3 linked regions of the Stegostoma tigrinum genome follow. The protein of the gene in region 1 purifies or fractionates together with the protein of each later gene. This does not show direct contact. Links are inferred from orthologs where the notes say so. Each region holds a gene or a part of one and is shown in the gene's direction. Other genes may lie near its edges.

What was found. Proteins that work in one complex are often made in the same cells at the same time.
Region 2: the proteins of pld2 (region 1) and dnaja2a purify together in Homo sapiens (affinity purification with mass spectrometry; 3 studies listed by BioGRID and IntAct, with this or other methods). This does not show direct contact. The link is inferred for Stegostoma tigrinum from reciprocal best matches to the Homo sapiens genes PLD2 and DNAJA2.
Region 3: the proteins of pld2 (region 1) and dnajc7 purify together in Homo sapiens (affinity purification with mass spectrometry; 3 studies listed by BioGRID and IntAct, counting the BioPlex papers as one, with this or other methods). This does not show direct contact. The link is inferred for Stegostoma tigrinum from reciprocal best matches to the Homo sapiens genes PLD2 and DNAJC7.

Annotation. Positions count from the first base shown.
Region 1 is NC_081398.1:15,717,417-15,727,347, forward strand, and holds the start of pld2 (phospholipase D2), read left to right. Parts: upstream 1-4,743; 5' UTR 4,744-5,033; exon of another isoform or gene 5,034-5,404; intron 5,405-7,933; exon of another isoform or gene 7,934-8,145; intron 8,146-9,931.
Region 2 is NC_081369.1:30,467,147-30,477,077, forward strand, and holds the start of dnaja2a (dnaJ homolog subfamily A member 2a), read left to right. Parts: upstream 1-2,796; 5' UTR 2,797-2,862; coding exon 2,863-2,940; intron 2,941-9,493; coding exon 9,494-9,553; intron 9,554-9,931. UniProt on the Homo sapiens protein: Co-chaperone of Hsc70. Stimulates ATP hydrolysis and the folding of unfolded proteins mediated by HSPA1A/B (in vitro).
Region 3 is NC_081384.1:12,728,815-12,738,745, reverse strand, and holds the start of dnajc7 (dnaJ homolog subfamily C member 7), read left to right. Parts: upstream 1-3,278; 5' UTR 3,279-3,341; coding exon 3,342-3,412; intron 3,413-9,931. UniProt on the Homo sapiens protein: Acts as a co-chaperone regulating the molecular chaperones HSP70 and HSP90 in folding of steroid receptors, such as the glucocorticoid receptor and the progesterone receptor.

The DNA of each region.
Region 1 (9,931 bases):
TATGACAAATCAAACAGGTGCAATGTATCTCCTCGTTCAAACAGCACTGCTGATCGTTCACTCTCTTGGTGGCCATCCAAGTGTCAGCGCATGTACCTACCACTGTGATGCGCAATGCTTTTTATCAAAGGATGATATAAAATAGTTTGGTTTTAAGAGCATCATTCTAGCCTGGGTATCATTCCACATTCTGTTTCCAGCTTGCTTGCTTGGTGTCGAACACTTAGGGCAGCTCAGCAAACACCTCAGTGATATGCACCCACAGCTTAATACTCCATACCAGGATTTAGATCGGCCTGTGCTTCCCACTTTGGAAGAAGGTTGGAGACACTTGGGTTCTTCTCACTGGAACGACAGGTTGAGGGGCGGCCTCATAGAGGTCTACAAGTTTATGAAGAGCATGGACACACTGGACAGTCAGAAGCTTTTCCCCAGAGTAGAAGTGTCAGTGACCAGGGGCCATGAGTTTAAGGTGCGAGGAGCAAGGTTTAAAGGTGATGTATGAGGCATGTTTTTTTACGCAGAGAGTGGTGTGTGCCTGGAGCTTACTGCCAGGGGAGGTAGTGAAAGCAGACACTATAGTGACTTTTAAAGGGCATCTTGACAAATATATGAATAGGATGGGAATAGAGGGATATGGTCCCTGGAAGGGTAGAGGGTTTTAGTTGTGACGGGCAGCATGCACAGGCTTGGAGGGCTGAAGGGGCTGTTCATGTGCTGTAATTTTCTTTGTTCTATGTGATGAGATCTAACTTGGAGGTGTTAAAAGGACTGGCTTTACTCTTGCTCCATAGGCAATTTTCACTTGCATGCCCAAAATTAAATGACTGTTTTGACAATCTGAGGTCCCACCTAGATTTGAACTCAGACCACTGGATTCACAGCCCACAGTGCTGGGCATTACACTGTAGACCCAGCTCTGCCAAGTGAGCTGACCAGAGCTGGACAAACAAGAACAAAGAACAACACAGCACAGGAATGGGCTCTCCAGCCCTCTGTGCCTGCACTGACACATTTTGCCCGTCTATACTAAAACTATCTTCACTTACGGGATCTGTATCCCTCTATTCCCTTCCTATTCATGTATTTGACCAGGTACTTCTGGAATGCTATTGTGCCGGCTTCCACCACCACCTCTGGCAGCACATTCAAAGCACTCACAACCCTTTGTGTGAAAATCGTACCTTGCACATCTCTTTCAAACGTGCACACCCCCCCCCCCCGCCAACTCCCACACCTTGAACCTGCGTTGCTTAGCAATTGACTCCTCTACCCTGGGAAAATGCCTGTGCTCACTGTGAAGAGAGGTTGAGCAGATTAGAATAGTTTACATTAGAAAGACGGAGGTTGAGGGGGGGACCTGATTGAGGTCTACAAAATCACAAGGGGTATAGACAGGGCGAATGGCAAGAAGCTTTATCCCCCTCAGAGTGGAGGACTCAATTACTAGGGGTCATGATTTCAAGGTGAGAGGGGAAAAGTTTAAGGGACATACTTGTGGAAAATTCTTTACACAGAGGGTGGTGGGTGCCAAGAACGTGTTGCCAGCGGGAGTGGTAGAGGCGGGCACGATAGCGTCGTTTAAGATGTATCTGGACAGATACATGAATGTGCAGGGAGCAGAGGGATACAGATCCTTGGAAAATAGGTGACTGATTTAGGTAGAAGATCTGGATCGGCGCAGGCTTGGAGGGTTGAAGGGACTATTCCTGTGCTGTGCTGTTCTTTGTTCTACTTTCAACCCAATAATGCCATTCATAATCTTATGACGTTCTATCAAGTCACCCCTCAACCTCCTGCGTTCCAATAAAGACAAACCCACTTAATCCAACACTTTCTCATATCAAACATCACCTATGAGTAAACTTCCTGGTAAACCTTTTCTGTACCCTCTCCAAGCAGCCACATCCATCTGGTAGTTTGGTGACTGGAACTGTATGCAATATTCCAAGTGTGGTCTAACTAAAGTTCGATAAAGCTGTAGCATAACTTGCCTATCTGTATACTCAGTGCCCTTTCCAATGAAGGCAAGCATGCCATAGGCCTTTTTTACTACCTTTTCTACCTGTCCTGCCACCTGCAGTGATCTTATGGACCTGCACACCCAGATCCCTCCGCATATCAATACTCCCAAGGGTTCTGTTATTTATTGTATAATTTCCATCTTCACTTGATATTCCAAAATTATCTCACATTTGTCTGCCCATGCCCCCAATTGATCTATATCTTAGATAACAAGGTGTTAACAAGATCCTTTTTCTGAAGATGGGCCGAGGCCCGAAACATCAGCCTTCCTGCTCCTCTGATGCTGCTTGGCCTGCTGTATTCATCCAGCTCTACACCTTGTTATCTCAGATTCTCCAGCATCTGCAGTTCCTACTATTTCTGATCTATATCCTGCTGTGTCTTCTGACAATCATCCTCACTATCTGCAACTCCACCAATCTTTGTATCGTCCACAAACTTACTAAATAATCTTACTAAATAATGTTTTCTTCCAAATCATTTATGTAGTCCATGAACAGCAGAGGTCCCAGCACTCACCCCTGTGGAATGCCACTACTCACAATCCTCCATTCCGAAAAGCACCCTTCTACTGCTACCCCCCAAAAAAAACGAATTAACGAGACATGATCTCTCTCCACACAAAACCATGCTGTCTATCACTAATAGGTCCATTCGCTCCTAAATGAGTGTAGATCTTGTCCCTGAGAATCTTTTCCAATAATTTGCTGACCAGCGACATGAGGTTTACAGGCCTGTAATTTCCAGGATTATCTCTGTCACCCTTCTTAAACAATGGGACAACATTGGCTGTACTCCAGTCCTTGGGACCTCACCTGTGGCCCAAGAGGCCTGTCAATACCCCAGCAATTTGTTCTCCTGCCTTCCTCAATATTCTGGGACACGGGGACTTATCTACCTTAATACTTTTTAAGATGCACAATATCTCTTCCTTCTTAATAGCAACTTGGCTTAGAAATTTGACACTCCCTTCTCTGAGATCATCCTCCATCAATTCATTCTCTTTGGTGAATACTGACACAAGGTATTCGTTTAAGAGATAACAAAGTGTGGAGCTGGATGAACACAGCAGGACAAGCAGCATCTTAGGAGCACTGGCCTGCTTTATTCTTCCAGCTCCAAACTTTGTTAGTTCGGATCCTCCAGCATCTGCAGTTCCCATTATTTCTGTATTCGTTTAAGACTTCACCTATCTCTTCTGGTTCCACACACAGATTCCCTCCTTTGTCCTTGAGTGGGCCAACCCTTTCCTCGGCTACCCTCTTGCTCCATACAGATGTATAAAAATTCTTGGTATTCTCACTGGCATGTCAATCGTGTGGAGGCAGTGAGGGAATATAAACAAATACCTCAGAGCAGGGAATTCCAAAGATTTAACCCTCCCCCTCTGAGTGAAGACGTTTCTCTTCAATCCAGTGATAATGGGAACTGGAGATGCTGGAGATTCCAAGATAACAAAGTGTGGAGCTGGATGAACACAGCAGGCCAAGCAGCATCTCAGGAGCACAAATGCTGACATTTCGGGCCTAGGCCCTTCATCAGAGAGGGGGATAGGGAGAGGGTTCTGAAATAAATAGGGAGAAGCGGACTGAAGATGGAGGGAAAAGAAGATAGGTGGAGAGGACATAGAACAGTCTGGGGAGGATGGACAGGTCAAGGAGGCAGGATGAGGTTGGTAGGTGGGAAATGGAGGTGTGGCTTGAGGTGGGAGGAGGGGATAGGTGAGAGGAAGAGCAGGTTAGGGAGGCGGGGACGAGCTGGGCTGGTTTTGGGATGCAGTGGGGAAGGGGGAGATTTTGAAGCTTGTGAAGTCCACATTGATACCATTGGGCTGCAGGGTTCCCAAGCAGAATTCCAAGCCCAATGGTATCAATGTAGACTTCACAAGCTTCAAAATCTCCCCCTTCCCCACTGCATCCCAAAACCAGCCCAGCTCGTCCCCGCCTCCCTAACCTGTTGTTCCTCTCACCTATCCCCTCCTCCCACCTCAAGCCGCACCTCCATTTCCCACCTACCAACCTCATCCCGCCTCGACCTGTCCGTCCTCCCTGGACTGACCTATCCCCTCCCCACCTCTACTCTCCTCTCCTCTCCACCCATCTTCGGTCCGCCTCCCCCTTGGTCCCTATTTATTTCAGAACCCTCTCCGATGAAGGGTCTAGGCCTGAAACATCAGCTTTTGTGCTCCTGGGATGCTGCTTGCCCTGCTGTGTTCATCCAGCTCCACACTTTGTTATCTCTCTTCAATCCAGTACTAGAAAGCGTGCTGCAAGGTTATCAGTCTGTCCTTTTAAATATCTGAATAAAAACCAAAAGAACTGCAGAATCGGTAAATCAGGAACAAAAACAAAGTTGCTGGAAAAGCTCAGCAGGTCTGGCAGCGTCTGTGGAGGAGAAAACAGAGTTAACAGTTTGGATTCGGTGATCCTTCGTCAGAACAGTTCTGAGGGTCACCGGACCCGAAGTATTTTCTCCTTCACAGACGCTGCCAGACCTGCTGAGCTTTTCCAGCAACTTTGTTTTTGTCCCTTTTAAATATCTGGTAGTTTTCAAATGGTTAAAAATTGTCCCTTTAAATATTTCCCAAGTGAGAAGTTACTTTAAAAGACCAGAAAAAAAGTTTAAATTTCTGCAGGATCCCTACCTTAAGGCTCGCAACACTGGGAGTGGACTGCGACTTTAAATCTCCTACAGCTTTCTCTCTCTCTCTCACACACACACTCTGTGCACATAGGCGGCTCCCTGGCGTTTTGTTTTTCTTTTCCCCTTCTGCGGAAGCTCAGCTTTTAGGTGTGTTTGTTTTCTCGTTAGATGCTTCCCACTCCTCTCTGTCCCTGTTGCTCTCCAAACTTCTCTGAGCCAGCTTCCGCTCGAAATCGGCTGTTGCTTCGCACCCACTTTGGCAGAGCTGCGTGGCAATAGCCCCAGGCTAACTTGGGCAAATCTGGCGAGGAATTTTGCTTGTCCGCCTTAAGGGGAGCCTCCAATCTCCTGGAATTAAGTCGTGGGTAAGTTACTGAGAAAGTGCGGCTTTGCAAGTAATGGGTCGACAACCTTTGTCCGTGTGTATCTGTTCAGTCCCAGCAAGATTATGAGGGAGTTTTAACTCTTATTGTTCGACAACATCGATTTCCATTTTAACAGCAGCCGTTTCGCTCACTGTAGCGCGTTCTACCTTCCTATCCGGAGCTGTGTGAAACTGAAATCCCTGTGAGGACTGACCAACCAAAAGCTTGTTTGAAGAGATTATTATTTAAAGAAGCATTTTGGAGGAGAAAGAAAAAGCAGTTTTAGGAGGGGATTCCAGAGTGGGGGCCCAGGCAGTCACAAATAGTGGAGACGAAGGGAGTCGGGAGGGATGGTCCAGGAGCTGTAGTAGTAGAAGGTGACAGACATCGAGGGGGGTGCGCAGGGGTTGGAGGAGGCGACAGGGGCGGGGGGGAGGAGGCGACAGGGGCGGGGGGGGCGAGGGGTTGGAGGAGGCGGCAGGGGCAGTGAAAAAAAAGTAAACTGGAGTGAACTCTGACCGAGACAGTGAGAATGAAGGAATCTGCTGTTAATTCTGCAGGGGTCATGAATAGTTCAGGTTTGCATGTGGGGGAATGGGGCAGCTGGTCTGGAAGCTTAGTCTTTTCGTTGCAGCAGGGTGGAGGGGAAGGGTTGAGGTTTATGATACTAACTTATTTGTCTCACTCATCTTCCTCTCTCCTGCCTCGCCTTGACTGAGAGTCTGGATAACCTCCAGTTCTGTCTCCTCGCCAACGCCTCAGCTTGTCGCGGGTGGATTCAGGAAAGCATCGCTACTCCTGCTGTTCTGGGCCGCTTTCTCAAATTGGGTTGAATAGTAGCAGCAATCTGAAAGGCTGATGGCCTCTCAGGTCTCTCGCGGAGCTTTGGGGTGGGGTGGAGACATGTTTGCTCTTGTGTAGTTCACCCTGTTCATTCCGGCCACACCCGACCAGCTTCAAGGTGTTGGCAGTGAGCCAACGAAAGGCCCTTTCTGTCTTCTGATGTGTGTTAGGCAGTTCCACTTAAATGCAGTGGGATCCTCCAGTTTTAATTCCTGTGAGAGCCCAGAATCCAACACACATTCTCTTATGGTCAATGAAAACACCAAAATGGTCAATAGCACAGTAACCTCTTTCTGTGGACCTCTCTGACAGCCTCAGTCCTGAGGTCAACACCATCACTCCCACTGTGGCCTATTTACTTTGGGTGGGAAAGTAGCTGGTGTAGAGCCCGTTAACTTGCTGTTTTTTTCGCTGCCACTCTCACTGCTGAAAACGCCCGCAGGGTTAGGTCAAAGAACAGTACAGCACAGGAACAGGCCCTTCGACACATCAAGATTGCACTGATTTTCCCATCCCTTTGCCCACTTGGCTCCTCTAGGAAGGGGTCAGTTCACCTTTCGTCCGCTCCCTCTGGGTCAAAATCCTGGAGCACCATTTCCCCCCCCCACATTTGGCATGTGTTCCCCCACCACAGGGATTGGAACAGCTCAAGACCGTCAGCTTCTTCTGGGGCAGTTAGGCAAGGGCTGGAAATGCTTCCAAGTGTAATCCCCATGTTCTGTGATGAATGAAAAATAATAATGGGCTTTGATCGGGTAAATGAAGTCCAACTGCTTTCAAGAGTGGAGTGGGGGAGGGAAGAAGGTTTTACTCAACAAGGGAAGCAAGAGTAACTTTAATTTCCGAAGTAATTTCTCGCGATCTGGAATAAACCTCCTCACTCTAACTCTCACCGTAACCCCTATTGCAGGTCAGAGCAGATTCGAGAGGAACTTTCAAAAGGTGGTGTTTGGAGAAATAATTGGAAAGGGAGAATTTGCAGAGTTATGGGGGGAGAACAGAGCTGGAACAGGCATGATGGGCTGAGTGGTCTTTTCTTGTGCTGTCCAATTGATGCCAGTGCTTGGAAGTACACAGTGTGTTGTCAGCAAGTCTTCAGGGTGGAATCTGCAGAGCGATCTCCGATCTTTTATCTTAGAGGGATTGCAGGTTGAAGTGGATTGCAGGTATGATTGTGTGTCTGAGTTTCTCTTCTGTTGCCTGATTATGCAAGTTAATACTTGTACATGAATCTGAAATACTGTTCAAAAAAGCACTGTTCGAACAAAGGTCTGAGTGTGCTTCATACTGAGTGAGACGGAGGGAGACTGGAAGAGTTGATATCGCTCACAACAGATCAGAGAGTTGATGTCTGAGTGGTGTGATCATTCAATCATTTGTCTAGAAACACAGGACGTGTCCTTGGGACCTGGTTCACATTTCAACATAGCAGACGGGGAATTTGAATTCAACCCGTTTTGAAATCTAATGGTCAATTGTTTTTTAAAAAATCTGTTCATTCGTGCCCTCACAGTCCTATCTGCCAGCCTTACCCGGTTTGGTCTACGTGTGACTCCAGTCACAAAGCAATGGGGTTGATTGTTGATTGCCCTCTGAAAAGGCAATCTAATAGTTACATCTAGGGACAACTGTGATGGGTGATAGATGCAATGTATGAATGACAAAAACAACATTGTTTTTGATGGAAGGGAGTGGAGAGTCGGTGCTGAGGGAGTGCCACCCTGTCGGAGGGTCAGCGTTGAGGGAGCACCCTGTTGGAGTTTCTCACTGTCATGTGTTGCACTGTTGATAGTAATGCATTTTGGATATGATATAAACCTATGACCCTAATATTAGCAGATGCCTTGGTAGCACTTCAGAGCTGGGGAGTCTCACAGAGGATCCTGTCCTCCATAAATCCACCTCAACCAGAATCAGTGCAAGCATGCCAATCCAATCAACACATCAATGCCACTGCTGGAATTTTGTTTTAGTTTCTTCCTGATATCCTGGCTGGCTCATTTTTTGAGACAATAAGGCGTAGAGCTGGATGAAGACAGCAAGCTGAGCAGGAAGCCCCAACATGGGCACCCAGCAAGGTTGCTCTTGTCTGGCTCTGTCCAAGTGGCATATGGGAGTGTAGATATTCTGTCTGTGACACAGTCCCATTCCACGGCGTTGGAGAAAAGGCATGTCCCCGGCTTTCAGCTGGTGAGGACAGCATCCTGTATATTCCTAGACCTTTGCAATCTGAACAGTGACTGTGGAGATAAACCATGCAGAACCATGTCTCTGTCTGTCTGTTTTCTCACTGTGCCTCTCTTTCTTTCACTCTCGCTGTGCCTCCCTTTCTCTCTCTTGCCATGCCTCTGTCTCTGTCCCTCTCTCTCTTGTTCTGTGCCCCTGCCTGGCCCTCACCCTCACCCTTGCCCCTCTCTCACACTCCCTTGTTCCCTTCGTCTCTCTGAGCTTGTGTTTAAGTTGCCATTGGATTGTAAAATTTGGGTTGTCTCCAAGTGCGAAATTGTCACATTAGTGCAATCTTGACCTGTATTATTCGCCCAAATTACTATCGAGGTCAACATCGCTCACATTTTTCATTGTAAACTGATATCAGTCAGTTTCTCGCTGTCATAACAAGGGATCATAACTTCACATTACTTACAGACTTGTTGAACTTCTAGTTACCACAAATAGTTTTTGAAAGAGCACATACAACCAAGAGTTGACTGTGAATGTAAATTCAGTCATACCTGATTTTAAAAAAGCCCCAAGTGGAACCTATGAAGTGTTACAACTCTGGAGTGAGAGGGAAACTTCAAACCAAAGACTTAAAAGAAAGAGATAATGGAAGTCTGACTATCCCTCTCAGCAAAAAGCCATCTCCTGAGGACTATGCTTCAGCAGGTTATGTTTGGGTCTTACCTTTCCAGGAATACAAGGCTCTTGGTCTGTGTATGATTGTGCAATGACATTTACTAACTTGCTGTGAAGGTTGTAGCTTGAGGGTACGCACCTGCACTGCAGGTGAAAAACATCCCTCTCTCTTACTCTAAGTGGTGGATGCCAGTGAAATTGCCACCAAGCAGGAAATGGGCTGAAGACGTGCTGACTTAGCCTCTTAGAGCTGTACAGTGAGGAAACAGACCCTTCGGTCCACCTTGTCCATGCTGACCAGATATCCTAAATTAATCTAGACACAGTTGCCAGTATTTGGGCCGTATCCCTTTTAACCCTTCAGCCTCATGTACTCATCCAGATGCCTTTTACATTTTGTAATTGTATCAGTTTCTACCACTTTGGCAGCTCATTCTCACCCTCTGCATGAAAATATTGCCCCTTAGGTCCTTTTTAAATCTTTCCCCTCTCTCACCTTAAACCTTTGCTCTCTAATTTAGGACTCCCCTACCCTGGGGTAAAAGACCTTGTCTATTTACCCTTGTGATTTTATAAGCCTCTATAAGGTCACCCCACAGCTGCTGACACTCCAAGGAAAATAACCTCAGGCCATTCAGCCTCTCCCTGTCGCTCAAACCTACCAACTGTGGCCTTCATCCTTGTCAATCTTTTCTGAACCTTTTCAAGTTAACAACATCTTGCCTATCTTAGGGTGACCAGAATTGAATACCTTATTCAAAATGTGTCCTAACCGCAGTGCCCTGAACAGACTGCAACATGACCTCCAAACTCCTCAATGCACTGACCAATAAAGGCAAGCATACCAATTGGCTTCTTTCACTATCCTGTCTACTTGTGACTCTACCTTCAAGGAACCATGAGCCTGCACTCCAAGGTTTCTTTGTTTGGCAGCATTGCCGACAGTGGGGATCCTACCATTAAGCCTAATAGTCCTACCCTGATTTGGCATACCAAAATGCAGCACCTCACATTTATTTAAATTAAACTCCATCTCCACTCCTTGGCTCATTGGCCCATCTGTTCAAGGTCCTGTTGTACTCTTAGATAACCTTCTTCAGTGTCCACTACACCAATTTGCAAATGTACTAACCATTCCTCTTATGTTCACATCCAAATCATCTATATAAATGACAAAAGCAGTGGATCCAGCTGGTCAT
Region 2 (9,931 bases), on another chromosome or scaffold:
CAACATATATCTTGACTGATTAAAACACGAACTCTCTTATAAACTCTGGGGCAGGTAATGGCCTAATGGTATACTTGCTGGACTGTTAATCCAGAGACCCAAATAACATTCTGGGAACCCATGTTCAAATCCCAACGCAGCAGATGGTGGAATGTGAATTCAATAAATATCTGGAATTAAGAGTCTAATGATGACCATGAATCCATTGCGGATTGTTGGGAAAAACCCATCTGGTTCACTGATGCCATTTAAGGAGGGAAACAGCCATTCTTACCCAGTCTGGCCTACATGTTACTTCAGACCCACAGCAATATGGTTGACTCTTAACTATCCTCTGGACAATTCGGGATGTGTGGGTAATGAATGTCCTCTTGAGCATTTCCAGCACTTAACTTCAGATTTTCTGCACCCAATCCCTTTTTGGCTTTGTGTTTCTGTGCAAGTTTTGCTGAAAGGTCATTGGCCAGAAAGGTGTGGCGTTTTGCTTGATTTTTGCTTGCTCTCCACAAATGTTGCTGAGCACAACCAGCAGTCGGATAATTTTAATTTCCCATTTTGTGGTAAAACTTTACGTTGGCATTCAGGTTGTGATGGACTCCCTGGTGATGATGGGCCACAAAGTGTGTGAAATGAGAAGGATCCACCATCTCTGTTCATGTTGCTAATGACATGGCTGGGAGGCCACAGTGACACCATTTCCTCCACAATGTTGATAACTGCTTTGGTACGGCCTCATGCTCCCATTAGGAGCTCAAGCAGTTCATTAACTTCACCAATACCTTCCACCCTGCCCTGAAATTCACTTGGACTATTTATGACACCTCCCACCCTTTCCTGGACCCCTGTTTCCACCTCTAGAAACAAACTTACCACCGACATCCATTTCAAACCCACTGACTCCCACAACTACCTCAGCTACACCTCTCAGCTTCCCTCCTGCAAAAAAAAAAGCTACCCCATACTCCCAATTCCTCCACCTCCATTTCACCTGCTCCCAGGACAAGACATTCTACTCCAGGACATCCCAGATAGCATCCTACTTTTGGGACCATAATTTCCCCTCCTCTGTAATTAAGGATGCTCTCAACTGCATCTCTTCCATTTCCTGCACCTCCCCGCTCTCCTCCATCCAAGGCCACAAAGAATCCTTCCAAATCCAGCAGAGATTCACCTGCACTTCATCCAACCTGATCTAATTGCATCTGTTGTTCCTGATGTGGTCTCCTCTATACTGGAGAGCCAAACACAGACTCAGGGACCAGTTTTTGGAGCATCTGCACTCTGAATGCATCAACCAAGTCGACCTTCCTGTTGCCATCCACGTTAATTCCCACTCCCAGTCCCCTTAGAGATATCCACCTTGGCTCTCTCCACTGTCAGAGAGAGGTCAAAAACCAAACTGGAGGGACAACACCTGATATTTCACCTTGGGAGCTTAAAGCCCAATGGCCTCAGCATTGAGATAATAAAGTGTAGAGCTGGATGAACACAGCAGGCCAAGCAGCATCTTAGGAGCACAAAAGCTGACATTTCCAGCCTAGACCCTACATCAGAAAAGGAGGATGGCGAGGGGGTTCTGAAATAGAGAGGGGGGAGGCAGATCGAAGATGGATAGAGGAGAAAAAGCAGACAAGTTAAAGGGGCAGGGATGGCACCTATAGAGTGGAATGTAGGTGGAGAGGTAGGGAGGGGATAGGACAGTCTGGGGAGGACGGGCAGGTCAAGGGGGCAGGATGAGGTTAGTAAGAAAGAAATGAAGGTGTGGTTTGAGGTGGGAGGAGGGGATAAGTGAGAGGAAGAACAGGTTGGGGGGGGGGGGGCAGGGACGAGCTGGGCTGGTTTTGGGATGCCGGGGGGGAGATTTTGAAGCTTGTGAAATCCACATTGATACTATTGGTTTGCAGGGTTCCCAGGTGGAATATGAGTTGCTGTTCCTGCAATCTTCAGGCAGCATCGTTGTAGCACTGCAGGAGGCCCAGGATGGACATGTCATCTCAGTATGCAAGAGGGAGTTGAAATGGTTCACAACTGGGAGGTGCAGTTATTGCACACCAAACATAGGTCACCGTGAGGCCTCAGCATTGACTTCACCACCTTCAAAGTCCATCTATCTCCCAGCCTTATCCCATGTCCTAGCCCTCCTCCTCACCTCCCTGACCTGACCATCTTCCTACTCACCTAAACACTTCACCCTTCACATTGACCAATCACTGTAACCCACTACCTGTCGTACTGGGGAAACAATGGCCTAGTAGTATTATTGCTGGACTGTTAATCCAGAGACCCAGATAATGGATCAGGGTTCAAGTCCCACCAGGGCAGTTGGTGGAACTTGACTTCAATAAAAAAAAAATTCTGGAATTAAGAGTCTAATGATGACCATGAATCCATTGCTGATAGTCAGGAAAAACACATCTGGAAACTGCCATCCTTACCTGGTCTGGCCTACACGTGACTCTAGACCACAGCAATGCGGTTGACTCTTGACCGCCTTCTAGGCAATTAGGAGTGGGCAATAAATACTGCCTAACCAGCGATACCCTCATTCTGTGAATGAATTTTTTTAAAAATTCCACCTGCCACCCTCTCCCCACCCCAGTCTCGAACGAAGGGTTTCAGTTCACACATTCGCCTTTGCTGCCTCTCAGACACTACCGGACCTGCTGCGCTTTTGAAGCATCACACCAATAGACCCTGACTTCTAGCGTCTGTGGCGTAACGTCTCCAGGCCCCGCCCCCTCCCCCGCTTTGCCGCGCGGCGGTGACGTCAGCGCGCTCTATGTGAGGCCAGGGTCAGACGTCACTTCCGGAGCCTGCCAGCTTGCGGCCGGTGCTCGAGCTTCTTCCTCCCTCTCTGTCACGATGGCGTCGGTAGTGGACACAAAGCTTTACGACATCCTCGGAGTTAGCTCCGGAGCTACGGAAAACGAACTCAAAAAGGTGAGTCACGGCCCGCCGGTGACACGCACGAATCGAGATGGAAAACAATACTCTCCTCCTTAGCCAGTGCCTTTCGGCAAAATTTTAAGGAAACAGCGCACAGCCTGAAGCCTGACCGGCTAGGCCGCTGCCTGGATTGTTGGTGTGTTGTGGGTAGACGAAGTGGAGTTGGGGGAGAAACCGAAGTTCAGCGAATTTAACAGGAATGAACCAAGGATCTGGCCGTTTTCGGTGTGGTTGCTATCAGCAGAGCGGGGCCGCCTCACCTGCCGCCCTTTTGAGGGATTGGAGAGGTGGTTGGGGGGGTTGGGTCAGCGAGCCGTGAAGGAGGTGGGGCGGGGGGGTGGTCTGGGTGTTGGTATTGCCGGCGCTGCTGTCACCGGCGTCCGCTAGCGTTTCCCCTCCCCTTCCGAGCAGTAGCACGCCTGGGATTCGGAAACACCCGGTGGCGCTTCATTGACCGCGACACCATTTTGTGTTACTGCAACCACCATTCCCCCCGACCGGGGGCCTATCTTTGACCGCTACCGCAGCGCCTGGGACATTAGTGAGGCCTTTCAGGAGGGAAGTGATGGTGACGGCGGAAGTGTTTGAAATGTTGCTGATAAAATTAGCCGGGCTGTGATCTAGAAAGGCTCTGGTTAATGTCTTCCGTCGCGACCGGAGAGCTCAAGTGCAAGTAAGTTGTATTTCTGCGAGGTGAATCATAGATACAAAGTGGATCAAACCGAGCAGACCAGTATTTGAAGTCGCACTTTCGTTTGTTGTGTAAATATGTCATTATGTTCTTGAATGATTTGAAAGACATCATAATATTGCTCCAAGCGATGATCGGTAATTTTCGTTACTGTTAGCTGAGGGAGTTTAGGAAACTACGCGCATATTGATCTGTCTGGGACAAAAACAGAAATTGCTGAAGAAACTCAGGCCCAGCGGCATGTGTGGCGCGAATGGCGAGTTAAAGTTTGGGATCCAGTGAGCTTTTCTTCACCCTGTCGACTTTCTTCAGCAATTTGTTTTTGTTTCGGATATACAGCATTCGCCGTTCTTATAGTTTGGATCTGTCTCCATATCGTTTGGAAACGTGGAATTGCAGGTATTAGCTTTCTTGCGTTCTGAACTGAGATGTTTTGAGTATATTTCGTACCTTGCTCTTGAAAGAAAGAAAAACCTACCTTGGGCATCCTTTAATCATTTAGTGTCCTATGCAGAATTGGTATTTAGAATCATGGAATCCCTACACTGTGGAAGTCAGCCATTTAGCCCATCAAGACCACGCCAACCCTCCAAATAGCATCCCGCCCAGACTGATCTCCCTACCTGTAACCCTGCATATCGCATGGCTAACCTACTTCACCTGCACACCCCTGGGCTTAATGGGCAATTTAGCATGGCCAATCTACCTAGTTTGCATATCTTTGAACTGTGGGGTGAAACCAGAGCCCCTGGAGGAAACCCCACAGACATGGGGAGAATGTGCAAACTCCATACAGTCACCCAAGGGTAGAATTGAACCTGGATCCCTGGTGCTGTAAGGCTGCCATACTAAGTGCTGAGCTACTGTGCTATATATTTCAAAGTAACAAAAGGGCAATTGAACATTAGGTCATGGCAGTTTGTTACCTTAAGTAATGACAGCTGAATGTTGCCCTGAAAATTTGAGGCTGCTCTTGTGCTGACCTAACTAATTCATGGAAATGTCAAATTAATTGTGAAACGATTTATTCAATTTTGTTTTGGTGGGCGGGTGTGGGGATTTGGCAAGAGCTACTGCTTACTACTTTGAGACTTTGACTGGCCTAGTCTAAGGAGCTGCTCTTGTGGTCTCCATGGCCATTAAGTCGCATTGCTGTCAGTTATCTTGTAAAAATTTGTTTTTGTGCAAAGCCCCGGAGTCTGGGACTGTTACGGTATACTAAAGCTTGTAGCGCTGGAAGGGTTTGAAACAAAGCAAAAGGAGAGATTTGCATGCTGTACATTTAAATTTAGTTCAACATATTTGTGAATGCATTTCATTGTTTGTCTCTATTTTTAAAAAGAGAGGATGGAATAAAATAATGTGACAGTGTATACTTTTTTAAAAAAATCAAAACATTAATCTTGTGAAAATTCATGCGATATGTAGAAGATATGTTGGTTTACTTTGTATGCGGAACATAGTGGCCTAGCAGAGAATCTTTTCAAGCCTCATGCTTCAATTCTTGAAGGGTTTTGTACAGGAGGTTTCTGCATGGCTTTAGATGTTATTCTGTATCTTGTTAACTACTCTAAGAATGTTAACAAAAAAATTGCAGGTTTCTTGTGTGGGCTTTCCTACTTCAGGCAAATTTTAATGAAAGATCATCCTTCCACAACATGTGCAACCTAGTTAGGCATTGTTATATTGTAGAGGGGGAGAAACCTTTTAAATCAGCATTCCCGTGTGCATTTTCATGTACCTTGATATTTTACATTTGTTCTATTGAATGTAGGTGTTGCTGGCTAGACATTTGACCAGGATTATTTACCTATTCCTAATTGCCCTGGAAAGGTGATGAACTGCCTCCTTCAACTGCGGCAGTCCTTGGGGTGTAGGAACACTGTCTGTGCTGCTTTTTAAATCTGGATATCCTATTTCACGTAGGCGATTCACAACCTTACTTTATTATGCAAAGGTGCATCTTCATCTATCAAATGGACCCTTTTGTTCTAGCAAATATCAGACTCATCTGAATCCTCATCTGTGTATTTGTCAATTACACATTAGAGTAAAGATGACATGTCTTGGCTGACCTATCATTAATGTACTAAAGTCAAATTAATCAAAACTGCTTCATCTATCCTATCTTAAAGTAAACCCTGCTGACCTATTGCTCCTGTCCTTTGCGACCTATGTTGGCTCCAATTTAAAATTCTCATCCTTACATTGAATTTACTTTGTCTTTGTGGATTTCTGTCTCTTTAATCCCACAGTTACCAGCAATCTTCCATCTCTAACTCCTTATCCTTCGCTCCATTATTGGTAGCTAAGCCTTTAGATGAACAAACAACGTTGCTTCCTTTTTCCAGCCTCTCTGCCTCCTGTTCTTACCAAGTTGTTACAAAATGCATAATGTGGTTTGTTACATTTTTATAGTTCATCAGTCACTAAAATTTGCTGTTTGCCCTTATTTGTTATTTGTTCAGAATGTTAGATACTGAGACTTTATAGTATTAAGAGAGTGGAACTAAATGAATGATTTAAGAATTGTAAAAACATTCGTAGAAGTTTGGTTTTTAAAATAAATACAATAAATGAAGAGAAGGATTGGTGTTCTGTGAGGCATAGTACTTGATCCGTGTTTTACACTAGATTATGATAGGTAGTCATTAAAGAACTCAGGTGAGATTAAATAAACCTAGAGAGTGGGAAAATTGTGAACTAATGTAAAATGGCAGTATAATCATGAAATCTCTACAGTGTGGAATCAGTCTCTTCGGCCCAAAAAGTCCACACTGACCTTCATATCAACCCACCCAGACCCATCTCCCTTATAACTCACCTAATCTGCACATCCCTGAACACTAAGGACAATAGATCAAAAATTCACAAGAAAAATGGGATTCGATCTGGAAAGCTGTGACTGACTAGGATATGATAGTGAAATTGCCTGTCTGATGCTGTAATTTTCCATAAGACCCTTTAAGGGTGTTTTAAAATGAACCCGCTGCAGTCCAGTATTTAGAGGAAAGCTGTATATTTCAGTTAATCAAATATACATCTGACAAATGTGGGTTTGTAGAAGCAGCAAAGATACTAGGTTGTGTTTCTTAGCACAAATCCTTGTCTCATTGCAGTAATGGAGAACAAAGTTAATTCTTGTTTACCATCTTCATGGAATTTGTTCTGTGATTTAGATAGTTGTTGAGAAGACTGTATTAGTTTCCCTTCTGATAGAATTGTTTGTCACACAGGCAGATAAGTAATCTGGTTTTCAGCACCTTATTTAGAACTATTGTGTTACTAACTATAATTATATGCTTATCAGTTGTTTGAGTTCGTAGTTGATATAATGCTGCCACTGCGTCAGTGGTAGAGGGAATGAATGTTGAAGATATTCGATGGTATGTTGACACCCCCCCAAAAAAAAATTCAGGCTGCTTTTACCTTGTGATGTCAACCTTCTTGAGTGTTAATATGCAGTCATTCAGGCAAATTGAATATATTCAATCACATTTGGGACTTAGTGGACAGGAACAGGGTGTTAGGAGGTAAGTTAATTGTTTCCAAATTCTGACCTGCTCTTGCGGCCACAGTATTTATGCAGCTGGTACTGTTCAACTTCTGAATGTTAATGCAATGTTAAATGTTGGAAGTTCCATTGAATGATGTGGGGTGATAGTTTCTTTTTTCGTTGGAAATGGTTATGACCTGGAACTTGTGTACGAGCGTTACTTGCAATTTATCGGCCCACATCTGAATATTGTGCTGTCCTTACTGTGTGTAGAGTAGGACTGCTTCGTTATTTGAGAAATTGTGAATGGTTCTGAACATTAATTCTGTTCCCCTGGCACAATTTTCTTAAGAATTTATCTAATTCTTTTGAAAGTGACTATTTAGTACCTTGTTAAGACTTTCAGGCAGTGCATTCCAGATTTAAACAACGAGCTGGGGCAGGAGGGCAGGTTTCCTTATCTTGACTTTGGTTCTTTTGCCTTACTTTTAATTATGTATCCTCTGGTTACTGACTGTTCTACTGCTGGAAACAGTTTCTCCTTTTTTACTGTGTCAAAATTCCTCTAGTAAATCCAACTTCAATAGAAGGTCAGTGATCTGAAAGATTAACAGTTCTGCGTTAACTAAGTTAGGGATTTTGCAGTAAAGTATTCAGATTGAATGGTTCACACTGCATTGAATTGTGAACAATAACCACGAGAATGCAGGCATAGTTGTACACATACTTACTTGTGCTATAGGTATGCAACATTTCATATTTTAATGCACATTTGACAGTTCTGGGATTGAGGTGACTGTTTTCATTCAACCAATCACTGAAAGGTGCGTATTTAATATATTTCAAGTTCTTATTGGTCCAGATTTTGCACTGATAATGGCAAAGCAATTTGCATTCTTTGCCTTTGCTGCATTGAAGCTGGCAGTTTAGGCAGTCTGCACATGTGCAGAACAAAACAAATGCAGAAGTTTCTGTCAGTGATTGTGTTGCTCTTGCAGATACACTATTGCGTATTCTCTAGTCCCTAAGCTACATCAGTGAATTGGTAAAAGCAATGCTTTTGGTCTTGTAGCAAAAGCCTTTGAAAATGTTGCTTGCTGTACACTCCTGTTAAAATGTAATTGCATATTTGTAGAATTTCTCAATTTGGGTAATTACATGTTTTTGCAATTTATTAATATTAATTAAGTGACAATTTAATCCAATCAATCAAATTTTATTTCACTATGAAAATTTAATTTAATAGTGAAGAGATTCATAATTTCTAATTCCCTGTTTGCTGTCTGAAATTTTTAAGTTATTCATTCGGGACACGTGGTCTTTGCTAGCTCGGCCATTATTGCTCAACTGCTGTAGAGAAGATAGTGGTGAGCTCCCTATATCTAAGAGCAGAATACATTAAGGTGATTGGCTGTAACTTTGGCATCACTGCATTCTGTACTCCACTTGGATTATGGCCACATTTAAACTGCGGTCAGGAAAGTGGGAGTCCACCGCTTCAAGGTCCTTTTCACTATTCGGACTATAAGAAGCTGTGCATAGTATGAGACAAAAACATAGACCCCAGTGAGATTCAGTACCTGAACTGATATACTATTTAGATAACCAAGATAACAACATTTTTTTCTGATGCAGGGTCTAGGCCCGAAACGTCAGCTTTTGTGCTCCTGAGATGCTGCTTGGCCTGCTGCGTTCATTCAGCTCCACACGTTGTTATCTCAGATTCTCCAGCATCTGCAGTTCCCATTATCACTGATTTAGTACATAGTTGAGAGAGCTGTGGAATCTTTAAAATTGTTGTTTGCTCCTGAGCAAGAAAGTCAAAAAAGATTACAGCCCATCCTTATTCAGCAATCCTTGTTGTGCGAGTCATCTGTTGGATGTTGCTTTGACAACACAGATGGTTTTCATGCCTTCTCGGTCAAAAAGCCCGGTGTCATTACAATGCAGTGTCTCAGCGAAAGCCACAGATAAAAGGTGGAGAGGACTATATGGAGGAGATGATACCATCATGTTCAGCAATACAAGATACTTATTTTCAGATCAGTTTGTTCCTGGTATAATTGTAATTACCTGTGCATATTGTTGCAGTGTAGACAATAGCCAACTCTCTTGGTCGTCTTTGCCTGCTTGCTTAAATCAATTGTTCATGGAATTTTTTTTAGAAATATCATCTGGTGCTTTTATACCTTAGATTTAATCATGGATCTGTGATAGTTGTAATTAGGTTCATTGAACAAACTTTGCAATTTATGAATTAAGAAGTTCCGCCTTCCTTATTATACTTTTAAATATGTGGAATATGATGCTGACCAACTTGATTGAGAATTTGTTTGACCTATAATGTATTCATTTTTAAGGCATACCGCAAATTGGCTAAGGAATACCATCCAGATAAAAATCCAAATGCAGGAGACAAGGTAAAAATAAACAATTTTATTTTCAAGTTTTAAAATTTGTTTGCATCTGACATTGTGCTATTCTTGAGCTGAGAGATTCTGAATGAAAAGTCTGCATCACCAACAAGTCTGGATTTGCACCTTGCCCGTGATTGAGTTTGAGTATTCAGGCACTACTTTCAAAATCCTAATCCAGCTCCTGCTTGTTATGAAAATGCAATTTCATGTACTCAGGCCATGAAAATTTTAAATGGTAGACACACTGCTGCTATTGAAACTACAGTGAAGGCACATTTTTTCCTTTAAACATAGCCTTTTCTTTCTATCATGAGGTCACAACTCCATACTGAAATTTGGTTCTGTCATCAGCATGAGCCATGGTAGAACGTTGGACTGTGG
Region 3 (9,931 bases), on another chromosome or scaffold:
TCTTTGCAATAGTACCATGTCTGCCAGATGGCGCAGATGCAACCTTAGTTTACTATCTGAAAGACAATACCACACCAGCTTGGATTTTTTTTTCATTTACATCTCCGGAGTTGGACTTGGGCCTATAACCTAATTCAGAGGTGAGAGTGCTACCTTCAGAACCACAGCTGCCACCTGCACAGGATTGTCACTACCCCTTTATCCCTTTGCTTATTATTTGTTAATGGGATGTGGGCATTCCCAGGCCACCAATTATTGCCCATCCCCAATTACCCTTGAAAACTGGTGCTGAATTGCGGTCTTGCACTGCTGCAGTCTGTGGAATGTAGGGCCAACCACAGTACATTTAGGAAGGGCGTTCCAGGATTCTAACTCAGTCGCACTGGAGGAACAAGTCAGGATGGTTGTAGTTTGGAGGGATCTTGTAGGTGGTAGGGTTCCCAAGTAATTAATTGTTTATACAAAGGATCATGGTTGTCAATATATATTAAAGTTACATAAAATCACATAATTGTACAAACAATTGTTCACGTGTGGAGAAAAGCTACTTGGTAAGTATATCAGCGGATGTCAGCGTGGACATCATAGCTTCAGGGTCAGGGCAAGGAAAGGTGGTTCTCAAAGCACCAAAATATGTTGACAAGGTAATTGTAAATAAGAGCAGATCTCAGCCCATCCATGAAATGGTGCACAACTGAAAGCTTGAATTAGACGTGGATCAGAAATAAGGTTGAAGTTAGATTGGAGAAGTGAAAGGTTGTCTGCAAACCCAGAACTAGCTTTAAAAAGGCAAACATTCAGAACTGAATTGCGTTGTAATTTTTAGATCTCGTACAGGTTTTGGTTCCCTCTGTCCTTCTCTGAGTCCTTTCACAAATAACAGAAAAGACCCGTTTACCCCCAAGTTGGCACAGAATGATCGTAAATTTAAATGGGAGAAAATGAAATGGCATACTGTCACATTTTTGAGATTGAATAAATTAAACTACATTCCACAGATAAAAAAAAGTAAACCAAAAAGTAATACTCAAATGTTTTACACTGATCGTACGGTCCTCCATTTTAAAGTATCTTGGACAATTTGGTTCATATGTGTCATTCATCAGTTTTACTGTTTTTTTTCCTCTGGTTATTGTTAGGGATTTACACCAAATTGTGCATAAATTCAGGTGTTTGCATACAGGTTAAGTAATTGATTAGCTCCACAATCACAACATGTGGCAGTCATTTTTGGATTGCCAGGTGAGGGTCAAATTTGAGAAGTAGATTAATGACCTCTTGATTGGAATTTGTAACTTGGTCACAGACATTAGAGAAGTGCCAGGTTTGCACGAGGCCACAGCACCCCCGAACTTGTGAGGACAAAATCTGCAAGGTTCCCACTCTTGATGATTATTCGCTGATTTAGACAATAACATGAATTTCAAATAGAATTGTAGTTAACCATGATACACTCAAATCAAATAGGCGCTTAACTTTGACTGACAAGGCACTGGAATATTGTATTGTAAGATTGACACCAGGCTGGAAAAATACCACAGAATACCTTCAGAGAAACAAACAAAGGGAGCAAGATAAAATTGATATATCACAAAAAAAGTCAAAAATACCCAATTTTGGCCTTTTTTATGTAGTTAACATAATTAAATCAAGCTGAGGTCTATACCAGAGTTACAGTCAAGAAAGCACACCAATGCCTCTACTTCTTCAGAAGGCTAAGGAAATTTGGCAGGTCTATAATGACAGTTAACAATTTTTATAGATTCACATGGAAAACATCCCATGCAATGCATCACAGCTTGGTATGGCAATTGCCCAAGACTGCAAGAAATTGCAGAGAGTTGTAAACACAGCCTTGTCCATCACACAAACCAGCCTTCCGTCCATTGCCTCTGTCTACACTTCCTGCAGTCTCAGAAAAGCAGCCAATAATAATCAAACACCCCACCTACTCCGGTTATACTCTTCAAACCTCTTCCATCAGGCAGAAGATACATAAGTTTGAAATCACATACCAACGGATTTAAGAATAGCTTCTTCCCTGCTATTATCTGACTTATGAAGGGACATCTCATATATCAGAATTGATCTTTCTCAGCACCTTCTTTTAGTTTTAACACTACATTCTGAATTCTGTACTATTACCCTGAAGCAGTTATGTAACGTATGATTTGTCTAGTTGGCAAGCAAAACCGAAACGTCAGCTTTTGTGCTCCTGAGATGCTGCTCAGCCTGCTGTGTTCATCCAGCTTCACACTTTATTATCTTGGATTCTCCAGCGTCTGCAGTTCCCATTATCACTCATCAATAATTTCCACTGTAGCTGAGTACATGGGACATACTGCTAGTGTTGCTGCCAAACATCGCATTACGTCGCTTGTGTTAGTGCCAGGAAGTGCAGTTATCATCAGTGCCACAGTACCAGGCATAGTCTCCATTACAAAAACAAAAATTGGTGGAAAAACTCAGCAAGCCTGGCAGCAGCTATAGAAAGAAAGCAGAGGTAATGTTTCAGGTCCAGTGACCCTTTTTCAGAACTATCTATGTTGGTTGTGTTGGTGCCAAACAGTGCAATTATCATCGGGTTAGTGGGCAAGCACTACTGTCTCACAGTGCCAGGCACCCATGTTCAATTCCAGCCTCGGGTAACTGTCTGTGTGGGGTTTGTACAATCTCCCCATGTCTGTGTGGGTTTCCTCCAGGCGCACTGTTTTCTCCCACATCCAAAGAATTGTCGATTAGGTGGATTGGCCATGCTGAATTCTAGTGCCCAGGATGCATAAATTAGGCGCGTTAACCATGGTAAATGCAGGGTTACAGGGATAATGTAGGTGAGGCGAAACCGGGTGAGATGTTCTCCAGAGAGTCGGTGTGGACTTGTTGGGTCGAATTGGCTGTTTCCACATTGTAGGGATTCTATACAATCCCAAGGTGACAGGCACAGTCAATCTGGTAGTGATTGAGATAACAAAGTGTGGAACTGGATGAACACAGCAGGCCAAGCAGCATCAGAGGAGCACAAAAGCTGACGGCTGAAATGTCACCCTTTGTGCTCCTAAGATGCTGCTTGGCCCGCTGTGTTCATCCAGCTCCACACTTTATCTCGGATTATCCAGCATCTACAGTTCCCATTATCTCTGTTAGGGATGGTACCAGGTAAATAATCAGCATCAGGGTCACAGAGCCAGGCTGATGGTACCAGGGCCAGCCAGTGGAGGTCCTCCATCTGTTTGGGAGGTCTGCAGTAGTTTATGCCGCAGGGATGCTCTTGCCTCCCGCCCGGCGGGTGGAAGCCTCGTTGTTCCGGAAGCCGGTCGGTACCGGGGTCCGGGTGTTGGGAAATGGCGGCCGGAGACTGCGATGTGACGATGGCCCCGGAGCCGAACGGAGCGGGAGAGGCCGATCTGGAGAGGTAACCGGGAGGGGAAGGATACTGCTGGATCCCCAGGCGGATGAAATAACAAACAAGGGCTGGGCCTTGCCTGGAAGCGGGGCTGGGTGATTGAAGTCCCTGAGGGTGAGATATAGGCCCCGGGGGAGAAGGCGGTTAACCCTGTGCCCGAGGAACACAGGATCCTGGAGAAGGACAGGCCCAGGCTGCGGTCACAAGTCCCATCGCGTTATCTGCGTTAAACATGTCTCAGGCGTTTGTCAGTTTTATATAAACGGCTGAAAAATAATTGATCATTTCTCAACCTTTGATGCTACAACTATCCTTTCCTCCTGTTGGTGCCTTCGTTTATACTCGGCACATTCATATTTCTTCAAGATAGTTATTATTTCTAATTTACAGGCTTTGGAATTTTAGACAAGATTATTTTGTGTCCAGGAAGCAGCTCTCCCCAGAATCCACGTGGGGCTTTGTGCCAATAATGAAATGGCAACCTTCCTTCCCCCACCCCCCCCCCACCACCATAAATACTAGAACCTTCCTCTTAGAACACTTACGAAGATGTAGTCTGCGTTTTACCAGATATCAATTTGTTCTCACTCCATTTTATTTAATTCCCAAATGGTCTGATTTATCAAACATTGGTTTGCTCAGCCAAGTGTAATAATGTGGGTTAGAAGACCCAGGCTCTGCAGGAGCCAGAGATTTCTCAGTTTAGGGATAACTTCGTTCATTTTTGTTCCGAGACATCTTTCCCCACCCTTCCCCTTAAATCTAAAACTTCATCAGAGAATAGATATGCAATGAGCAGTGTATTAATTCACCAGTATTTGTTTGAAGTCAAGTCTGAATACAGTACCAGGATTTTGTGCCCAGAAATGTTGTTGGAAATATATTGGGGTTGTAAAGTATTCTTGGCTGTAGAAGGTCAGGGATGACTTTATTGATTTGTTTCAGATGATAAAATAGATGTGATTGATTGAGAAATCTACCACCTGTAGTAAGGACGGGTTTGAGGGACAGAATGGCCTACTCCTATGCCAGCATTTCTTTGAACTGATTATTGATGCGCCCTTGTTTCTTGTACTTTTTATCCCACACTCCAAAAAGAAATTACATGCCCTGAATGTAAGTGGGCATTAATTAAGCCAGAAATAATAGTGATGTTGAAAGATCGAGCACATCTGCCTTTTTACAACTCTCATTTCTGAAATATTTGCAAACTCCCGAGTAATGCCTGTTTGTGAAATGAGTATTTGTGTATATTTACATGAGGTAGAAAGTTCTTTTAGAGATCTAGCCCGAGAAGTTGTGGACTGAATGGTTGCCACTGTATTGGAAAATTATACGATGATTCCTTTGCTATTTCACCCATGATTGTACTAATTTCAACGTACAATTAACATTTTGATCTATTCCGTTACATGAAACCTGTATTGAATTAGCTTTGATTCTTCCCAGGCATACATCCATGGAAGTCCATCACCTTGAAATCGTTTGACTTTTATTCATCAGTCTGCAGAATAAAGATCCTGAAAAGAGAGCCCATTAGACTTGGCACACTTGTATTGGCCCTCTGAAAGCTTAACACTTCTACTCTTTCCTAGTACCTTTACTTAAGTTTTTTTCTTCAATATTTTTAATCCTTCTTTAAAGATGGTAATAGATTCTTTACAGCCCTGTTTTCTTTTGAGTATCCTTTGTGCTATTCAAAGGAAGAAACAAATCTTATCCTTTTGTTCTTCTGATTAGCTTAAATTTACACAGCTGCTAGTTTCCAATTCAGAAACCGAGGAAATTAACTTTCTCCAAATTTGCTTCATGTCATAGAATCACAGTCATACAGCACAGAAACTGCCCTTCTGGCTCATATCCCTCCAAATGTTTCCTGTTCATAAATTATCTAAATGTCTTTTAAACGTTATGTGTATGGGATTGTCTGATGGCTTTTAGGTCAGGAGAGTTGTGGTAAGGGCTATGTATCGAGGTAGAGAATAGCATGTGAATGTTTATAACTGTGCTTAGAAACAACCCTATTCGGAAGCTCACCTGCAGACTTGTTAAGTAATTCTTTCTCGGACCCCGACTTGCATATGTCTGGGAAACGTTATGTGTGACTGAATTGGAATTCAAAATGGACGTCTTGTGGAGGAGTATTTGAGCAGAGACAAATAGATCACATCAGTCTTCCAAAAGCCTGACAGTGGGGTGCTATTACTCAGCAGTTCACAATTAAACATTAAACTCATTACATAAAGGGGTTATGTCTGAATTTCAGAAGATTTTGATTGAGTTTGTCCGTTGAATGCTTCATCGTTGCAGTTTTCATTTATATAACACTTGTTCTTCCAGACAACTGTGTGGAAACTGTTAATTATAGAACGGTTACAGATGACATAAAAATGTTATATTTGTCATCAGAAGTCTTGGGTGACAAAATTTTCTTTCTGAAAGTGCGCTCCAACTCTTATGATAAAATATTACAGGTGTACTTCATGCTGAAAATTTCTGAGCTAATTTGGTGTTGGGGTAGGTTAGTGTAGAGCTGGAACACTATTAGAACATAGAACAATACAGCACAGTACAGGCCCTTTGGCCCACGATGTTGTGCCGAACTTTTACCTGAAACCTAAGGTCTATCTAACTTCCACCCCTACCTTATACTATCATCCATATGCCTATCTAATAGCAGCTTAAATGCCCCTAATGAGACTGGCCCCACTACCCTCTCCAGCCATGCATTCCACGCCCCTACCACACACTGAGTAAAGAAAAGTACTTCACTGCCTCCCTAAGGGGTAAACAATGCAGTAGGAGAAATATTATAAATTGCAAAATAAGAAGGCGTCTCAATATTTTGCAAGTTTCAATCAGATTCCCCCTGATCCTTCTAAACTCTATGGAGTACAGAACCAGAGTCCTCAACTCTCCTCATGTGACAGATTCCTCATCCCTGGGATCTTACATGTCAATCCTCTCTGGGCTCCTCTGAAACATTCTACCTTAGATTCAGGGCTTGAAATTGCTCACAATATTTCAAATATGGTCTAACCAGAGCCTTATACAGCCTCAGCAGGACATCTCTGCTCTTGTATTCTAACCCTCTTGAAGTGAATGCTAACATTGCATTTGCCTTCCTGACTGAACCTGCCTGTTAACCTGAAGAGAATCCTGAACTTGGGAGTACCAGAAAAACTCTGGTTTGATCCACTTGCAGTAGTGTTGTTTAGAACTGAATGTTGGACTGGTGTTAGCATTTTTTACCGCTTATCATGTTGCAGATCATGCCAGTCAGATCTGTTACATGGGTAAGTTTGAATTTATTTGAGAGCTGGGAGCTCGTACAAAATGGCTGTTGCTCATGTTTTATTTTCTGTAACTTGCCCACAGAGGCAGTTTCTCCACATCTGTAAAATATTCTGCTGTTAGTGTTGGAAAAGTTTACCTGTTGGGTGATAGAAATTGTCATCTTTGGCAGATCTGTTGAACCTTTATCTAAAAGGGTACAATAGTATTTCCAGTGATTAAAAGTGATGTAATTCCTGAAAACAAAATGAAAAAATATCAAGTGGTAGTATTTGCTGCTGTCCAATGATCAAGTGTAAAAAAAATTATTTTAAATCAAATTAGGAAACACCTTCTTAGTAGATGGATCTTGAATCCAGACCTGGAGTGGGGACATTGCCACAAGACCTTGGCGAGCAAGCCAGTGGATTCAAATGAACTGAATCTTTTAAGTTTGACCTCCCAAATTAATTTGCTGAATGACTACCTTTATATCTCAGATTAATTAATTCAAGTTAAATTCCATCAGCTGCCAAGGTCGGATTTGGGCCTCAGGATTATTCATCTAATTACATTATCATTACAAACTGCTTTCCTGGAATATTAGCAAGTCTTATATGAAAAGGTAGAGTAAATTGATAATATTTCTTACAATGCACCAATTAATTTTATCAAATCTGTAATGCATTCAAGGGTTTCTATAGAATGCTGTATGTTTCATCATTTATTGGCTTGTCAGCAAATCGATCTTTTCAACATATTTATTCTATATTCAGTGTGCCCATGAACAGAACACTCTTGTGTGGCTTGTCAAGATGATGAGGGGAAAATACAGCAGTTAGTTTCCAGAGTTCTGGCTTAAATTTCCCAGGTATATGACAATATTAAGCTTGTGCCCTGAATCAGTCTTAGGGTCTCAGATTTAAATCGGTTTGCAGACTAATTGCATAAGACTTGAATTGTAATTGTAAACAGTTAATAGCAGCCAACCAGCTCTTAAGGAGAGATAAAACCTGAACTGAGCAATGATGTAATAATGGGAACTGCAGATGCTGGAGAATCCAAGATAATGAAATGTGAGGCTGGATGAACACAGCAGGCCCAGGAGCACAAAAGCTGACGTTTCAGGCCTAGACCCGAAACGTCAGCTTTTGTGCTCCTGGGATGCTGCTGGGCCTGCTGTGTTCATCCAGCCTCACATTTCATTATCTGAGCAATGTTGCCTGTCAGTAAGGAGTGAATGGCCGTGTTGCTTTTCTCTACAACATACGATCATTGAGCAGGACTGGCAGTTTCTCGGACCTGTTCTGTCATTCAATAAGATCACAGCTGACCTGATTATAACCTCAAATCTGCATTCCCACCTACCCTGATAACATTTTACCTCTGGTTTAATGAGGATCTATGTATCTCTCCTTTAAAAATTTCTTGAGGTTTATTTTATTCACTTGGAAGAGGTGGGCATCATTGGCTGGACTAACATTTATTTCCTGTCCTTAGTTGCCCTTGAGAAGCCTTCTTAGGGAAAACAGTTTCACTTTGTCTCTGTTTTAAATGGGAAACCCCTGACTTCCAACCAGTGACACCCTAGTTCTAGATTCTCCCATTAGAGAAAACATCTTCTCACAGCTGCCCTGTCAAGACCCCTCAGGATCTTGAATTTCAGTCAAGTCACCTCTTATTCTTTTGAATTCCAGATACAATCCTCGCCTGTCCAACCTCATAAGGCAACCTGCCCACATCAGGTATTAGTCTAGGAACGCTTGTCTAGACAATGTCCAACATACACAAAAACTTCCTTAAATAAGCTCATGCGGTATATAGTACTGTGATGTGATCACATTAGTCACCTGTATAACGGAAGCATAACCTCCTTACTTTTGGAAACCAAAAGAACTGCAGATGCTGGAGACCTGAAACAAACAGAAGCAGAATTTGCTGGAGGAACTCAGTAAATCTGACAGCATCTGTGGAGGAAAAATCCATTAAGTGTTTTGAGTCCTGTGACCCTTAGGAACTAGAAGCAGCTAGAAAAATTTGAACTAATGAAAGGAGGCAATGGTTGGGGAAGGAGAATAAAGAGAGAGAGGAGAGGGAGTCCAGAGAGAGAGAGTGGAGGTGGGGGAAGAAAGGCAGATAAAAATATTGTTGATAGTAGGCCAGGGAAAATGCTGGATAGATGATAATGGAGACTGAGAGTAATTGAAATTGAAGTGGCAGTACTGAAAGCATTTCGTAAGAGTCATGGAGTGGTGGGGTAGGCAATAGATAAAGAAGTGGGTGGTCACACTCTTAGGTTTAAAACTTGACATTGAGTCAAAGGGTGTTGTTTTCTATGCAGCCAACCTATTTTCAACTACTCGTGGTCCCACTGTCACCAACCATCATTAGATTCTCTTTTTCCCAGGGCTTCTTTCTTTCAATCTTTCTTTCCCTTTTTATTTCCATCGTTCTCTCGCACACTCTCTCACTCTCTTGTGCTCACATAGAATCTCTACAGTGTGGAAACAGGCCGTTCGGCTCAACAACCCCATACCGCCCTTCTGAAGACCATCATACCCAAACCCATCCTCCTACCCTTTGCCTGTAACCTGCATTTCCCATGCTTAATCCGCCTGACTTGCACATCCCTCGACACTACGGGCAATGGTAGCATGGCCAAGCCGCTTGAACTGCACGGTGCACGTTTTTGAACTGTGGGAGGAAACCGGAGCACCCAGAGGAAAGCCATACAGAGACAGGGAGAATGTGAAAACTTCAGATAAACAGTTGTCCAAGGGTAGAATTGAACCCATGTCCCTGGTGCTGTGAGGCAGCAGTGCTGACCACTGAGTCACAGTGATGTTTCTCATGTTCACTCCCTCGCTCACTCTCATGTTCTCGCGCGCTCTCTCTCTCTCTCTCTCTCTCTCTCTCTCTCTCTCTCTCTCTCTCTCTCTCTCTCTCTCTCTCTCTCTCTGTCCCCTCTCCCCCCCCTCCCCTCTCCCCCCCCCCTCTCCCCCCCTCCCTCTCCCCCCCCTCCCTCTCCCCCCCCTCCCTCTCCCCCCCCTCCCTCTCCCCCCCCTCCCTCTCCCCCCCCTCCCTCTCCCCCCCCTCCCTCTCCCCCCCCCTCCCTCTCCCCCCCCCTCCCTCTCCCCCCCCCTCCCTCTCCCCCCCCCTCCCTCTCCCCCCCCTCCCTCTCCCGCCCCCTCCCTCTCCCGCCCCCTCCCTCTCCCCCCCCTCCCTCTCCCCCCCCTCCCTCTCCCCCCCCTCCCT